Linked DNA regions of Sus scrofa. The protein of the gene in region 1 interacts with the protein of each later gene in a biochemical or structural test. Links are inferred from orthologs where the notes say so. Each region holds a gene or a part of one and is shown on either strand. Other genes may lie near its edges.

What was found.
Region 2: the proteins of PIAS2 (region 1) and SUMO3 form a complex in vitro, tested with the Homo sapiens proteins (2 studies listed by BioGRID, with this or other methods). The link is inferred for Sus scrofa from reciprocal best matches to the Homo sapiens genes PIAS2 and SUMO3.

Annotation. Positions count from the first base shown.
Region 1 is NC_010443.5:96,542,924-96,547,129, reverse strand, and holds the start of PIAS2 (E3 SUMO-protein ligase PIAS2), read left to right. Parts: upstream 1-1,349; 5' UTR 1,350-1,525; coding exon 1,526-1,549; intron 1,550-4,206. UniProt on the Homo sapiens protein: Functions as an E3-type small ubiquitin-like modifier (SUMO) ligase, stabilizing the interaction between UBE2I and the substrate, and as a SUMO-tethering factor.
Region 2 is NC_010455.5:207,481,530-207,485,659, reverse strand, and holds the start of SUMO3 (small ubiquitin-related modifier 3), read left to right. Parts: upstream 1-1,297; 5' UTR 1,298-1,520; coding exon 1,521-1,541; intron 1,542-4,130. UniProt on the Homo sapiens protein: Ubiquitin-like protein which can be covalently attached to target lysines either as a monomer or as a lysine-linked polymer. Does not seem to be involved in protein degradation and may function as an antagonist of ubiquitin in the degradation process.

The sequences.
Region 1 (4,206 bases):
GAAATGTCCTGCAGTAGTTGCATTTATAGGTACAGTTCTGATCTAATTACTGTAGCAAGGGGGCATAGTTATTATTGACTTAGGTCAGTGTAGGGCAGCACCCAGAACTCTTTGCAGTCAAACCTACCCAATCCTACAACGAACACTTCAAACAGTTTCCGTGCAGCTCTGCCTCTTATGGTTTTATGTTTGAGTTGGTACCTCTTATGGGTTGGTGGAAGGGCTGTATTTTATCCTATTCATCTTTATATTCCCCTAAAGCTCCTAGCCTTCATTTAATGTCTGTCGAACAATATAAAATGCCACTGAGGTGGAAGTTAAGACCTAAAGAGAATAAACCAAGATTAAATCAACCTAAGACCATAACGTTAATGGTGGAGAACCAGAATCAGAACCTATTCTAGATACTGTTGATTCTCTGAATTAAAATGGGGCATGAGGGTTTAGGGAAGGTCTTCCTGAAGAAATGATACTAAAACTGAGTCCTGAGGGATGACTAGGAGTTAGGCAAAGAGGTAGAGTGGGAAACTCTTCTTGGCCCAGGGATCAACATTAAGTGTCTTAAATGGGAGCCACTTCTCAAAGCACATTTCAACTCTGTCCTTGGTCCAGCGAATTTTTTGACCAGCTTGCCTCAGCATCTTCTCTCATCCTTTGTCAGCACGTCAGGGGTGCTGTGAGAAACTTCCTTCCATCCGCTCTGCCTTTGACATTTCATCTTTCCCAGCTATCTGATTTCCCTGACCCTTCGACTTCCTATCAGGGCCTTTCAAGTTGCTCTCCTATTTCACTTCTCCAACCTCTCTGCCCCAACCCTCTCGACTCTGCAGTCTTTGACATTCAGTCGCCCTTCAAAGTCAGAGAGAACTAGCCAGGTTAGTACTTTGAAGATATTAGCAACCCAAAGAGGTCTCACCAATCCCGCACCATTAGCTCAGAACCAGAGCTTAGTCAACATCCATGGGTTGTTCCACCACAACTACTCTGGGGGATGGCTTTATTTGTGGGTACTCCCCCAGTCCACGCCACCGTGGGAAAAGACACCTCTTCTTTCTCTCCATCACTCCCTCCTACAGGCCCGCCGGTAATGCTGCAGTCGCGACGGCGCTTCAGGTAGTCGGGCTGGGCCTTCGCGTGGGGAAGAGGAGCATCCACGCGCTGAGGCGGGGCACGGAAAGGCTGCGGAAGGCCGACACGCTGAGGGGGAAAGGGGAAGATCCAGGCAAGCCTAACGCAGCTCACTGGGAAGGCGGGCGGAAGACCCGGGCGGAAGGCGGTGGGCCGGTGGGCGGGGCGCCGGGAGGGCGGGGCCGCTTGCGCAGGGGGTGGAGCTCCGGCGCAGGTCACGTGACGCGCCCGGCGGCAGCGGCGGCGGCGGCGGCAGCAGCCGCGGCGTCTTTAGCGGCGCCCAGTGCAGGATGGTGCTGGAGGCGGCGGCGGCGGCCGTGGTGGCGGCGGCTTCGTTGGCGGCAGCGGGAGGGGGTGCTGTGGCGGCAGCGGCGGCGGCGCCCGCGGGTGGTATAAAATGGCGGATTTCGAGGAGTTGAGGGTAAGCGGGGGCGCGGGAGTGGAGTGCGGAGGCCGCGGGGGAGGGGAGGGGAAACCGGGGAGCCGCAGCGTCTCCGGCCGCCACCTTCTTGTTTCGAGGGGACCGGTTGGCGGAGCCCCGGGCCCGGGCCCGCGTCGGAGCGAGAGCGCAAGCGGGCGGGGGAGGGGAGAGAGACGGCGGAGGACGCCCGCGTAGCGCCGGGCCGGCGGGCCTGGGGCCCAGGGTAAGCGGGCCAGTGGGGTCCCGCCAGGGGTCCGCACACCTTGCACGCGGGGGCAGGGGCCCTGGGGAAGGCGCTCCTGGGGACCCGACTTACCGTTTATTTTAGGGGATGAGGTGGGGAGCAGGATTTGCTTTTCCACCTTCGTGAGGGGTGTACGTGTCCCTGGTGATTCCTAAGTCTACGGGCTACTCGGTGGGAGGCTGTTTTCTGAAACGTGAAGTTGCTTTTAGGAATTTTTTCTCATCGATGGCTGATGCTACCGTTCAGTCAGATCTGTCACGAGAAAGGCCCCTTCCTCCCACCAGTGCTTCCTCAACATCATAGAGAGAAGCATGGTCTTTTGGGGACCCTGCCTTCAATAATCGACCTTAAACCTTGCTGTTTTCTTAGTGCTATGGTAAGAAATCGGCAGAAGTCCGTGCTGTCATGAGGTTTGTTTGTGAACTTGTTTTTTGCTCTTGAACAATTTTCCTTCCTAGTCCTAGAACAAGGTCATAACTTTATTGTTGATACCTTTGTATAGTAGAGGTTTGAAATGAGCTGTTGGGGTTAGAACGGAAAAGATATTTTTCCTGGGGCTGATAATCTTCTTCAAAGTCCTCAACTGAGACAAAACTGTCATAAACGAGCCAGAATTTTTATGGATCGCTGAATTACTGGCGACATAAATGGGGTACTTAAGGACGGACACCCTGATTTAAAAAAAGTGTCAAGAGATGAATAGGAACTTGAAATTAAGTTAACCACAACTAATTTGCACAATACAGACATGTTTTAGGGTTACTTTTTCGGAATAAGAAGGAAAGGGGAATCAGGTAAAAGATTCAGTTTATGTTTGTGACTGTTTTTAGGAGAGCGATGAGAAGCGGTGGAAGGATATTGGCTGGTTACCTGGCTGGTATGGTGTACATCAGCAAAAGAATGTATTCATGGTTCTGATCTAAAGGGAAATTGTTTCGGTTTGAATAATGCCTACCTTTCCCCGCCTGCTGTTTCAAAAATTATTTCATTCTCAGTAAAGAGAAAAGCATATTAATGAATTTTATGCCTGTACTAGTTTATATACGGAGGACCCTGATAGTAGGTAAAGAGAGTTCATATTGATAAATGTGAGGGTTTTAGTGTCTTAGCCTCAGCTGTAGAGCTTTTAACACCTGTAGACCTTTTGAAACAACCAGGCCTGAGCCTCACCTGTGTAAGTTCATGCATTAGGTTTACAGTGGGTTGAGAATACTGGTTTGTAGTTAAATTTATTTTTATCTGCAATGTCGTCTTAATTTCTGTGTAGTAACAGATGCATACCACTTTTCCTCCTCTAAGATTATTTTGTTGATGAAAACTTTTCCAAGACCTGTGTTAGACTTTATAAATGTTGTTGGTCAAAGCTTAATAAAAAGTGGAGAATTTATTTGTTGGTTTAGGCCAGAAAGGGCACTCAGTGCTTAAGTTGTAGTGGAACCAGGAACTGGAAAGTGTTTGGAAACCAAGATATATTCTCCCTTTCTCTCTCCCTCCCTTCTCCCTTCTCTTTCCCACCTCCCATTTTGTTTTGTGAGTCAGCTTCATCATCTTTTTCTGTAAGTCAGCTGTCTCTACTTCTCCTTGTATTTATTGGATAAGAGTATGGACTGTGCGAATGCCAGAAGGGTTATCCACCCCAGTCTTTGCCTTAGCTGCTCAGTAGCATCCCCTCCCATCTTTTAGGGCTACACCCCTGCATATGGAGGTTCCCAGGCTAGGGATCGAATCGGAGCCACAGCACAGCCACGGCAACGCCTACACCGCAGCTCAGGGCAACGCCGGATCCTTAACCCACTGAGCGAGGCCAGGGATTGAACCTCATGATTTCTAGTTGGATTCATTTCTGCTGCGCCACCACTGGAACTCCAAGCATCTTCTATATTAAAAGATGTGCTGTATCTCTCTCGCTGTGCCCCACTGCAAAGAGTGATGATGGTGATGGCAGATAGCCATTATAATAAAGTGCTTATTACATGCCTAGTTCTGGTTTAAGCACTTTACATACGTACTTAGTTTGCACAACAGTTCTATGAAAAATTGAGGCGTAGAGGGGTTGAATAACCTGATCTAGACCACACAGCTTGATCCTGGAAGACCTAGGGATTTTTGATCTCAGAGGTCTAGCTTTAAGAGAAAGCACCCCTCAGCATCTATGGTGTACTGCTCTGTTCAGTTTCCTTCAGGTCCACTGTGTGCTCCTATTTATCATCTTGTGAATCTGTGAACTAAATTGAATGATAAGTAAACAACATGCTTCTTATGTGACATGTAATATTATAGGGAAAGCTGGACAACTGACCAAAAATCTAGTTAGAAAGGAAAAGGGGAGGAAACATCAAGGGTTTTCTAAATAGTCTCTGCTTCAGAATGTATTCTGATGATCAGAGTGATAGTCAAGTACATAAAAGGACCA
Region 2 (4,130 bases), on another chromosome or scaffold:
GCCTTCAGATGGAAGCCATCTAGTGACCTGGGTTCAAATCCAGACCCTGCCACCTCCTAGTGCGTGACCCTGTGCAACCTTCATTCCCTGACCGGAAGAACAGGGGGCTAAGGTCCCTGCTGCAGAGTGTTGTGAGCCTTGATGCGTGCTTGGGACCACAGCCGGCACACCCGAGGGGTCAGTCCACGTCGGCCACTGCTGGTCCCTTTCCTCTGAGGCATGGGGTGGAGACGGGGAGGGCAGGAAGAGCCAGGGCCTCAGAATCCTGGAGGGCTTCCTGACCAGGGCCCATTCTTCACCACATTTCCCGAGGTTGCCTGAGTGCCCGTTTCAGCCTGTCCTGCTGGGGTTGAGCCCTGGGTTTGTCCCGAGGCAGCAGAGCACACTGGTCAGACACACGGACCACTGCCTGTGCTCACATCCCAGCGGCATTGCTCACCCACGCTAGGACGTCAGGTAACTCAGTTTCCTCACCTGTAAAATGGGCTGATGTAAAGGTCAGGTGCACAGCTTCCAGGTAGGGTAGCAAAGCGGTCCCCACCTGCCCCAGGTGCTCGGCTTCCACTGGCCAAGCTCAGAAGGGGGCTGGACAGGGGGAGAAGAACAAGCAGCCTAGCCCATCACAGAGAGAGGCTTCTGCCTCCCCGTCTCCCTCCCAGAAATGCCATTTATGCCTCCGTCCCCTGGGATCGCAGAGTGGAGGTGGCCGGACCTTGGAGCCTGAGTGGGTTTGCTAAAGGAAGTCATGCCCTGACTCCTTGGTGGACGGAGTGGCCGGGTGGGTCAGCCTCCACCCCTTCCTTCACTCCACTTCGAGGTCCGACACTTGGCTCCGGGCGAAGGCAAGCTGCACCTTCCCCAGTAGTGGGGGCGCCTCCCAAGACACTGTTCTCACTCACGTCCCCTGGAGTGGCTCGCCTGGCTGGCTTTATTTTCCTTTTTTTCCTCTGAGAAACACCGTAACCAGAAAAGAAAAGCAGTGGGTGCACTTAGGCTTGACTGGTGCTGCTGCAGTAGGGGGACCAGTTATGGGGACCAGAGCAGGGGCCGTTCTCAGGCTCCATGATAAAGCGCAAGGCCTCCTGGCCCGGTTCTCTGAGCACCTCGGGGTTCCAGTTTGCCCCCATCGCTGCCCCGTGTGCCCCCTGGGTCCCACCGTCCCCACCCTAGCTGCCCTGCACGCCTCCCGGGTCCCAGCGCGCCCCCCACCCCTCGGGCGGACCCGAGCCCCCGCTGCCTTGGGAACCCCCAACCCCGACGCCGGATTTCGCGGGGCCCCGCCCGGTGACGCATTTCCAACCGCCAGGAACCTCGGCCGGCAGGCCAGGCGCGCGTCCGACGCCCCGGGGTCGCGCCTCGTGCACGCGCGCCCACCACGTGACCCGCGCCGGCCAACCGGCGCGCAGGGATTTGGGGGCAAAGCGCGGCCCCGAGAGCAGTTGCGGCGGGAGAGCGGCGGGCCGAGAGCGTGAGTCGCCCGCCCGGCGCTGCTGCTGCCCCGCCGCCCGCCGCGCGCAGCCATGTCCGAGGAGAAGCCCAAGGTAAGGGCCGTAGGGCGCGGGCCCGTGCTCTGCCTCCAGCCCACGCCGCCGTCGCCGCCGTCCCCACCCCCGCCTGCGCCCCGTGCTGCACCGCCCTCCGACCCGCCGCCGGCCTCTGGGGCCCGGGGTCCGCGGCGCCACCCGGCTTCCCCGGCCCCCTCCCCCGCGCCGCCGGGCTCCGCTCGGCTCCCCTCCCCCGCCCGGCCGCGCGCCCCGCCGCGCGCCCCCTCCCTCCGCCCAGGCCCCTCCCTCCGCCCAGGCCCCTCCCTCCGCCCAGGCCCCTCCCCACGGGGCCCGCCCCGTCCCGAGCCCCGCCCCTCCCAGGCCTCCCCCCCCAAGACACGAGCTCCACCCCCACGGCCCCGCCCCGCCCCCGAAGAGCCCCGCCCCGTTGTCTCGGCGAGTGGCACCCCTATCCTGGACCATCCTGGACCCTCCTGGACCTGACCCTCCTGGCTGGGACCCGCCTGGGTCTCCCCTCGTCCCCCTTTGGGACCGCCCCTCCCCAGAACCTCTTTCCTCTTCGGACTCTCCCCCCGCTGCGCCCCTCATGCCAGGACCGAAGGTCCTGGCCTGCCTGGGCCCTACTGCCCCTCGGAGGGCCTCCTCCTCAGCTCTCACTGCGGAGAGCCCGAGGGGGCGCAGGCTGGGGACAGGGGCTCTGAGAGGCCTGACCTGTCTGGAGGCACGGTCGCCCCCCTGGGCGTGCGCCCACCTCCCCCGTCGTTTACTGTGTGCCCCCTGCCGCCCTTCCCCCAGGCTGTCAGGTCTGCGCCCTTGAGTCTGCTGCGCTGGCCCTTAGCCCTCCCCCTCCTATTAAAGACGGGCTTCTGGACCCTTGGGGTCAGTGTTTTCCAAGTAGCAGATCTGCTGCGAGTTGAACGATGGCGTGCAGGCTTTCTCTGCTGCCAGCCCCGCTGGAGGTTCCCCCCCTGCAGCTGAGGCTGGAGCCCAGGAGGCAGAGCTGGGGTTGGGGTCCAGGGCACGGAACCCCTGGTCACCAAACCCCTGGTCAGAGACCCCCTGGTTGAGCCCCAGGTCGGGAGCCCACTGTGGGGCCTGTGAGAAGAGGTGCCCTCAGGAGCTTCCTCTCTCCGGGTGCAGTTGGAGCTTTGTTTTTTATTCTATTTTATTACTTCTTTTTCTTTTATTTTGGCTGCCCCATGGCACATGCAGTTCCTGTGCCATGGGTTGAATCCCAGCAGAGCTGTGTCCTATGCTACGGCTATGGTAACATTGAACCTTTACCCACTGTGCCTGGTATCGAACTCATGTCCCTCCCTGCCCCTGCAGAGACCCGTCAGTCCCTTTGCGCCACAGCAGGAACTCCTGCCTTTGCTTTTTCCTTGCGGCCAGTTACATTTCTCACTCAGCCTTTGCTAGCGCTCGCGCCCTGGATCCTTTGTTTATTGGAGGCTGAACACAAGCGCCCCTTCTTCATGCTTTCTGGGGGCCTCTTTCTGCAGTTTAAATGCGATGAAATACACATAGATCTCATTCCTTCGGTGTGTTTAAACTTAGCTCTCCCACGTGGTCCAGCCCACAGCCCAATTCAGTTGAATAAACTTGTTTTCACTGCTTTCCAGACAAGGCCTCGTGCCCCACCCCTGCCCACCACAGCCTCGCTGCCTGCCGAGCTCTCCTCTGGGCCTGGGGGTGGTAGGAGGCCCGCTCCAGCCCATCTTGGTGAAAAGAAAACCTTGGGATCCGTTGGGAGGCCAGTTCTGCCTCCCTGGAGAGCACAGGCAGAGGCCTGCTGGTCGGAACTGTGGGTCTTGTCCACCCCCTTTCTTTGCAGTAGTTCACTGGCTTATTGGGAATTCACCAGGGCCGGGCACAGGCCATGTGGTCTCGGTGCCTTCCTCTGCCTGGCCTTCAGCCCCTGCCCTGTCTCTGTCTGCTTTGTGCTCTGGCCCCTGCGTCTCATTGAACACACCAGTACCTTCTCATTAAAAAAGCAATGCATCCTATGTCCACATGCAAAGAGAATAAAGTTGGAGGCATTCCCCTTGTGGTTCAGTGCTAAGGAACCCTGCTAGTACCCATAGGTTTCGGGTTCGATCCCTGGCCTCGCTCGGTGGATTAAGGATGTAGCATTGCTGTGAGCTGTGGTGTAGGCCACAGACGCAGCTTGGATCCTGCCTTGCCATGGCTGTCCTGTTAGGCCGGCAGCTACACCTCCGATTGGACCCCTAGCCCGGGAACCTCCATATGTTGCACATGTGGCCGTAAAAAAAAAAAAGACTGAAGTTGGATTTTTCTTGTCACTATATGCAAAAATTAACTCAAGGTGGACCAAGGACCTAAAACAGTACAACTCTCGGGAGAAAACAGAGGAAAGCTCCATGACATGGGACCTGGCAGTGGCTTCTTGGATGTGACACCAGTGGCACAGGCAGCATGAAGAAAAACAGACAAACTAGACTTCGTGAAAATTGTAAAAATTTTGTACATCAAAAAACACAATGGGAGTTCCCATTGTGGCTCAGTGGTATGAACCCGACTCGTATCCATGAGGACGTGGGTTCGATGCCCGGCCTTGCTCAGTGGTTTAAGGATCTGGCGTTGCTGTGGCTGTGGTGGAGGCCG